Linked DNA regions of Macaca mulatta. The protein of the gene in region 2 interacts with the protein of the main gene of each other region in a biochemical or structural test. Links are inferred from orthologs where the notes say so. Each region holds a gene or a part of one and is shown on either strand. Other genes may lie near its edges.

The links. The genes of interacting proteins can lie anywhere in the genome.
Region 1: the proteins of TLN1 (region 2) and ITGB3 form a complex in vitro, tested with the Homo sapiens proteins (6 studies listed by BioGRID and IntAct, with this or other methods). The link is inferred for Macaca mulatta from reciprocal best matches to the Homo sapiens genes TLN1 and ITGB3.

What each region holds. Positions count from the first base shown.
Region 1 is NC_133421.1:71,587,542-71,591,588, forward strand, and holds part of ITGB3 (integrin beta-3), read left to right. Parts: intron 1-1,610; coding exon 1,611-1,777; intron 1,778-3,879; coding exon 3,880-3,945; 3' UTR 3,946-4,047. UniProt on the Homo sapiens protein: Integrin alpha-V/beta-3 (ITGAV:ITGB3) is a receptor for cytotactin, fibronectin, laminin, matrix metalloproteinase-2, osteopontin, osteomodulin, prothrombin, thrombospondin, vitronectin and von Willebrand factor.
Region 2 is NC_133420.1:63,971,275-63,975,321, reverse strand, and holds part of TLN1 (talin-1), read right to left. Parts: intron 3,950-4,047; 5' UTR 3,920-3,949; coding exon 3,790-3,919; intron 3,559-3,789; coding exon 3,461-3,558; intron 3,197-3,460; coding exon 3,067-3,196; intron 2,962-3,066; coding exon 2,809-2,961; intron 2,569-2,808; coding exon 2,426-2,568; intron 2,314-2,425; coding exon 2,186-2,313; intron 1,159-2,185; coding exon 1,098-1,158; intron 458-1,097; coding exon 353-457; intron 37-352; coding exon 1-36. UniProt on the Homo sapiens protein: High molecular weight cytoskeletal protein concentrated at regions of cell-matrix and cell-cell contacts. Involved in connections of major cytoskeletal structures to the plasma membrane.

The DNA of each region.
Region 1 (4,047 bases), on a different chromosome or scaffold from region 2:
TGCTATTACTATCTTCATTTTAAAGATGGAGAAACAGGAAACAGACATTCAGAAAGGTTAAGTAATTTTCCAAAGATCATGTATCAAAGTTAAGCGATAAGTCAGGATTCAAACCCAGGGAGTCTGGCTCTAGCGTCCACAGGAGCACAGACACACCAACAAATCACACTGCCTTCCTCTAGGAGAGAGAAGGGAGAGTGGTGGGGATTCTGGTAAACTAGAAAATATGCATTCCAAGTAAAAGGAGCAGCTCCTCCTCAGCTGTAGCTAGCTGCTGCCCTGCAGGAATATAGGTGTCAGTGTTTCTAAATCTTTGGATTTCCTTCCTTCCCTCCCTCCCTCCCTCCCTCCCTCCCTCCCTCCCTCCCTCCCTCCCTTCCTTCCTTCCTTCCTTCCTTCCTTCCTTCCTTCCTTCCTTCCTTCCTTCCTCCCTCCTTCCTTCTCTTTCTCTCTTTCTCTCTTTCTTTCTTTTGAAATAGGCTCTCCCTCTGTCATCCAGGCTGGAGAGTGGTGGCATGATAATGGCTCACTATGGCCTTGACCTCCCAGGCTCAAATGATCCTCCCACCTTAGCCTCCTGAGTAGCTGGGACTACAGGCATATGCCACGATGCCTGGCTAATTAAAAAAACAATTTTGTAGAGGCAGGGCCTCACTATGTTGCCCAGGCTGATCTTGAACTTCTGGACTCAAGCTATCCTCCTGCCTTGGCCTCCCAAGTGCTGGCATTATAGGCATGAGCCACTGTGCCTGGCCTGGATTTTCTTTTTAAAGAGACTAATATGAAATTTTCGGGGGAGAATCTCCTGATTATTCAATACTGCCAATAAAATCAATTTTTAATTTTTAATTTAATTTAATTTTATTTTTTGAGATGGAATTTTGCTCTGTTATCCAGGCTGGAGTGCAATGGTGTGATCTCGGTTCACTGTAACCTCCACCTCCCAGGTTCAAGTGATTCTTGTGCTTCACCATGCCAGGCTAATTTTTGTAGTTTTCATAGAGACGGGGTTTCACCATGTTGGCCAGGCTGGTCCCAAACTCCTGACCTCAGATGCTCTGCCCTCCTTGGCCTCCCAAAGTACTAGGATTACAGGTGTGAGCCACCACACCCAGCTTTTTATTTTTAAATTTTTTTAAAAAACTTTAATTTTAGCTTTAGGGGTACATGTGTGGGTTTGTTCTGTAGATAAATTGTGAGTCATGGGGGTCTGGTGTACCTATTATTTCATCACCCAGGTAATAAGCATAGTGACTCATAGATAGTTTTTTGATTCCCACCCTCCTCCCTGCCTCCACCCTCTAGTAGATCCCAGTGTCTGTTGTTCTCTTCTTTGTGTTTAATTTTTAAAATAAACACTTGGGTGAACCCCCACACAAAGGTGTGGCTGGGTTCTGTCTAGGGGTTACCAGGTCTAGACTTCTGATTTGAGTCACTCAGCACAGATTATTGCTGTCCTAATGATTGTCTCTGTAAAAAAATTAATTTTTGAAAACTGTCCTATTTCCTTCAAGGACCTTAATTACTTTGTCAAGAACACCTTATTCATAGCCAGTTCAAGTGATTCTTGCTTCATTCACAACCACCTGCTCTGTGCTTCTTCCTCACAGAGTGTCCCAAGGGCCCTGACATCCTGGTGGTCCTGCTGTCAGTGATGGGGGCCATTCTGCTCATCGGCCTTGCCACTCTGCTCATCTGGAAGCTCCTCATCACCATCCACGACCGAAAAGAGTTTGCTAAATTTGAGGAAGAACGCGCCAGAGCAAAATGGGACACAGTAAGAGATTGGGCTGGGCTTTTTCTAAAAAGTCATTGGTCTGAGGCCCTTATGTGGAAGCAACAGATGCTTTGGGTGGTCAGGTTCAGCCAGCACGATTGTCTTTCTGTTATCCTCTGTTCTGGAAACGGGGAGAGATGGTCTCACTGTCCCTTTGTCCTTCAGCTTCCTTTAGCCTCTTAGAAATAGTGGCAGGATGTCATTCCACCTCATTCTATTCTTTCTCCTCAATAAAATGGTTACTTCCAGGCTGGGCCTGGTGGCTCGTGCCTGGTGGCTCGTGCCTGTAATCCCAGCACTTTGGGAGGCCATAGTGGGCAGATCACTTGAGCTCAGGAGTTCGAGACCAGCCTGGGCAACATGGTGAAACCCCGTCTCTATTAATAATATAAAAATTAGCCGGATGTGGTGCTATTAATAATATAAAAATTAGCCGGATGTGGTGGTGCACACCTGTAATCCCAGCTATTCGGGAGGCTGAAGCAGGAGAATTGCTTGAACCATTAGGTGGAGGTCGTAGTGAGTGGAGATCGCACCCTTCTCTGGGTTACAGAGCAGGACTCTGTCTCAAAAAAAAATAAAATAAAATAAAATAAAAGGTTACTTCCAAATCAGACTTTACTCTTTTATCCTGATTTATTGTATTTTTAGTAGAGACAGGGTTTCACCATGTTGGCCAGGCTGGTCTCGAACTCCTGACCTCATGATCACTTGCCTCAGCCTCCCAAAGTGCTAGGATTCCAGGCGTGAGCCACCGCGCCTGGCCAAGAATGTGTTTCTTGAAACCACCATTAAGGACTACTAGACCGTATAGGATTTGTTACTTTCTGTTGGAAAATAGTTTGGGAAACCTAGTGAGGGTTTTTTTCCTGATAACATGACAGTTTGTGGATAGTGCTTTCTCTTTCTCTCCTCTTCCCTCCCCTCCTCTCTCCTCCCCTTCCTTTTTCCTTTGCTTCCCTCCCCTTCCCTTCCTCCCCTCCCCTCCTTTTCTTTCCCTTCCCTTCCCTCCTTCCTTCTTTTTTTGAGACAGGGTCTCATTCTGTCATCCATGCTGGAATGCAATGGTGCCATCATGGCTCAGTACAGCTTCAATCTCCTGGGCTCAAGTGATCCCCCCACCTTACCCTCCTGAGTAGCCAGGACTATAGGCACACATCACCACAGCCAGCTAACTTTTGTATTTTTTTCCCTTGTAGAGACAGGGTCTCACTCTGTTACCCAGGCTGGTCTCGAACTCCTGGGCTCAAGTGATCTTCCTACTTTGGCCCCTAAAAGTGCTGGGATTATAGGCATAAACCACCATGCCTGGCCATGGTTAGTGCTTGGCCAGATGAGATGAAAACAAATTAATAATTATTTGAGCAAAAGCTTTCCTCTGTGTTCTGAATTCCACCTGCTACATTTCTGTCCTTGTCCACATCTCCCATCGCTGTCACAGGGAATGGAAAATAGGAGAAGTGCAAAAGAGAGGGGGACACGGGGTGAAATAGGAGAAGTTCTATTCCTGAATGCTGTGGGATCACTGAAGAGTGATAGGCTGAATTTAGCTCCTTAGAAATAGTGTCAGGGAATGAGTGTGGTGGCTCACGCCTATAATTCCAGCACTTTGGAAGGCTGAGGCAGGTGGATCGCTTGAGCTCAGGAGTTTGAGACCAGCCTGGGCAACATGACAAAACCCCATCTCTACAAAAAAATGTAAAAAGTAGCCAGACATGGTGGTGTGTGCTTGTAGTCCCAGCTACTTGGGAGGCTGAGGTAGGAGGATATCTTAAGTCAGGGGAGGTGGAAGTTTCAGTAAGCCGAGATTGTGCCACTGCACTCCAGCCTGGGCAACAAAATGAGACCCTGTCTAAAACAATAATAATAATAAGAAGAAGAAATGGTGGCAGGATGGCATTCTATCTCATCTCCTCCTGTTATTTCCTATCGATTCCCATGCCAAGAACTAAAGTGGGAGTAAAATGAACATTATTCTGTTTCATCTATGGTGTATTCCAGAGAAGGGTACCTTGGGAAAACTTCTGAGATGAATTTTAAACATTCAGGGTAGGGAAGGACTGAGGAAGTCACTGTAAGATGCTCTTCTGTTTCCTTCACAGGCCAACAACCCACTGTATAAAGAGGCCACGTCTACCTTCACCAATATCACCTACCGGGGCACTTAATGATAAGCAGTCATCCTCAGATCATTATCAGCCTGTGCCACGATTGCAGGAGTCTCCGCCATCATGTTTACAGAGGACAGTATTTGTGGGGAGGGATTTGGG
Region 2 (4,047 bases):
CCTGGGCACTAGCTTGTTCTTCCCTTTCATTTTTTCCTATGAGGCAGAGGTTGGTGCTGGTGTTACAGGTCAGAGGTCAAATGAGAGGTGAATGATCAGATCAGCTTGCAGCCATAGGGGATGTTGAGGTGGCCCGGAGGGCTAATAGACAAGGGAAAATGCAGAGTAGGGAGGGAAATGGTGGTGGAGGGCTGACGACAGGCAGTTTTTCATGAGGTCAGAGCAAGGAAGAGAATGAGGAATCTTAGGGAATGGTGGGAAATGTGACTGAGGGCAAGGTCAGAGACTTTCAGAGACAGAAAAGGGCAAGAGTGGGAAACAAGGAGGGCAGTGAAAAGGGTCTATAACCTACCTTCACCAGGAAGAAGGAGACACCGTAAGTCTTGAGAGAACGGGCTAGCTTCACGTAGCGGACCTTGGCCTCAATCTCACTCATCTGCCCACAATTCTTGTGTGCCTGAGCATAAAACGGGGAAGAATTTAGCAAATAGTTTAATATCACAGCTAAGGAATTAAGGTTGGATGCTAATTACAACAAGAGAGAATTATGGGGAGACTGGAAAGGTTGAGGAGTGCAAGATATGAGAATGAGACCGCAACGGGATGGAGACTGATAAGGGCTATGCAGAAGCAATGAGTCGAGGGATACAGTCAAGGAACTTGTAGACATTCTGGAGATATGAACAGAGTTCGGAAGCAGAAGGGCAAAGAGAAGGCCTTTTGGGCTGAGTATTCAGAGTAGGGGGTAACATCTTATACATGGACAAAGACTGTACTCTTCCACAGTAATTTCAGATTATGCTACCTCATTTGATCCTCCTATCAGTCCTACACAGGGCAAATACTGTTATCCCAAATTAGAGAGAAATAAAAGAATACAAGAATATTGAACTGAATTGCACAGCAAAAGCAGGGATGGAGCTGAGACTAAAAGCCCAGGTTATCTTCTTTCTTGGCAGAGGTGAGGTGGGATAACAGTCTGGTGGGTGAAAGCTGAGTTAGGGGAGACAGGGAGGAGGCGGGGGGCCATTTAGTCAGTAAGATTAAGCAGCAAAGCTCCGCGGTCATCCCAAATACTTTCCCCTACCCACATTCACCTGGAAGATCTTACGCTCTCCCTTCTGCTTCACATACTCCTTGGGCAGGAAGTCCTTCAGGCTACACCAGAAAAGGGAGGGTCAGCATGTGGTAGACAGCATCAGGGGACATGTGGGCCATGAACTGTGGGCCTGGGGGTATGAGGAAATACCTACGACAGTGTTATCTTTGGGGAGAAAACAGACTCTTAGGGAATAGAGTCTAGATTATCTTCTGAAATAGAGGTGACTTAGTGTAAACTCTTCTTTTTTTTTTTTGAGATGGAGTTTCGCTCTTGTTGCCCAGGCTAGAGAGCAATAGTAGGATCTCATCTCACCAAAACCTCTGCCTCCCAGGTTCAAGTGAATCTCCTGCCTCAGCCTCCTGAGTAGCTGGGATTACAGTCATGCACCACCACGCACAGCTAATTTTGTATTTTTAGTAGAGATGGGGTTTCTCCATGTTGATCAGGCTGGTCTCAAACTCCCGACCTCAGGTGATCTGCCCGCCTCGGTCTCCCAAAGTGCTGGGATTACAGGCACGAGCCACTGCGCCTGGCCAGTATGAATTCTTAACGTAACCTGTGTCTCTCCCTGTAGGGAAAGGGACTGAGGAAAATTAAGTTAGAGGCTCAGTCCCTGAGGGAAAGTGGGTCTAGAGCACCATTTTAGGGAACCAAGACGAGAAAGAGCTTTCCAGAAGGATGACCATGCACTTAGGAAGCTGAGAAAGCCACGCCAAACTCTGCATTCCAAGAAACACCAGCAGATGAGGCTTGTGAGACTTTTAACCCACGTTCCCTATAGGGAAAATTTTACCCTGTTTCCCTCTGGCTACTGCAGCAAAATTCTTCAGACAATCTCAAAAAAAAGTGACATGCTTGCTTCAGAGATGGGGGTAGGGGCAGAGATACTGAACTACATTCATATTCCAGAGGTAGAGAAGAGACAGTGGATGATGGCAACTAAAAGGGTACCTATGTCAGTCAAACCCTGGTACCTCGGAAGAAGAAACAGGGGGAGCAGGCTTGGAATGGAGACAGGCCCACTGGGGTCACAATGGCAGGGAGTGCTGGGCCCTGACAGGGTGTAGGATGTGGGTCACTCACTCGAGGAAGCCAGCCTTGTGTTTCTGCTCATTGTGGGGCCCAAACTGGATCTGGCATTGGAAGCCAGCAAACTCACAGGCCTTGTCAAAGGAGACAGGGTGGGAGCCATTCAGGATGTCATCTCGTGCCTGGAGAGCACAGGGCAAGGAGGCAAATGTTGTGTGTGGGTGCAGGGACACACACACTGTGCTTCCGACCCCTCCTTATTCCTGCCCCACCCCAGCCAAGTCCTCTGCATACCTGCACATACAGGAGGTTCAGCTGTACGGGGTCCCGGGAATCCACATTCTGGTCTGAGTAAAAGAACTTCCTCCGCAGCAGCAGCGTCTCATGCTCCTCTACACCCTGCTCCCTCAGTGTCCGGCCATGGTCCAGCCAGTTCACTGGGATACAGACAGTCCCCTCAGTGCCAAACCCCCATGGCCCCTGTGTTGTCTGGTCTCTGTTTACTTCTCCACTTCCTACCTCTCCTTACTTAAATGTAAGTTCTGTGAATGTAGGACTTTGTTTTCTTACTGACGTATCCCCAGGGTGTAAAACAGTGCCTGGCAGAAGCACAGAAGGCTAAAGCCCCTTCCCACCCTTCCCATTTCAAAAGCCCTCTTTTTTCTGGTTCTGCTTACACTCGTCATCTGTGTGTAATTTCTGCTTTAATTTCTCCATCTTCTTTTCATCTCGCAGCAATGTCTTGTCTTTTCTTAAGGTCCCTGTCACTTCCTCCTTTTTCTCTTCCATCAGCTCTCGAACCAATGAATATTCATCATGGTTGGTGATGCCTGGGGAAGGAGATGGCTTGTTAGCTTCCCAGGTACTACATCAATGCCTTTTGAGAGAGCTGAGGCCTTCTGGCCCAGGCCTTCAACTGTACTGGGGCCCCTTACCAATGCGGGCACAGATGGTCATGAGCATGTCAGTGACAGTCTTAGAGTCATCCACCATGATCGTCTTCACAGTTCCATCCAGCATACGGATCTTCAGGGGTCTCTGTTTCTTCCTGTACTCCATAGTGTCCTGTTAGGGTAGGAAGAAGAGACAGGGGCCTACTCTGAGCTAAGGATATTATTTCCTCTTTACACAGCCTGAGGGGAGAGAGTGGAGCACTGAAAGGAAAACTATGGTGGTTCATTCAAAAGCAGGGAATTATGACTGTCTGTTAATAGGAAGAAAGCATGGGGAGGGCTAAGAGACAACAGATGTGGGTGCTGAAAACAGGAGGTGGAACAGGGAGAAGCTGATGGAAGGGGATGTGGTGGTCCTTGATGAAGGGATACTTACCCCATTTCGGAGCATGTAGTAGTCCAAAGCTTTCCCAGCCTCCAGCCATATACCCTTTTTGGGGTCATCATCTGACAGAAAGAGCCCAAAGTCGCTGGCTAAAAGAGAGGATGGATCACCTTAGGCTTATGAAGACTCCAATGCGGCTGAACAGCTTGTACCATGTTGCCCCTATTTCTCCCATGAACTTAGGCCTAAAGAAGGAGGGAACACAGACCTGAGGGGTGAGTAGTCTTAGGGGACAAAGGGGTCAACTCTCAAGGCCGAGAGCCTGGGAACAAGAAGGGACTGAAGACTCCCACTCCAGCCACCTGGGGAGTCAGACTCACGAGGACCAGCCGGGGCCTCTGGGATCCGCTCACGAATGATGCGGCAGGCGTCGTACACCATGGTAGACGGCTCAAACTGCATCGTCTTCACCACATTCCCAATGCTGATCTTCAGCGAAAGTGCAACCATGGTGGCGGCTTTTCTCCAGCCTGGCTATACCTGGCCCATGGCATCAGGGCATTAGAATACACTCTTCTGGTGGGAGAAGAAGCCCCCCAGATGGTGGAGTCCCAGGGAAGAGTGTTTTTGAAAGGGAC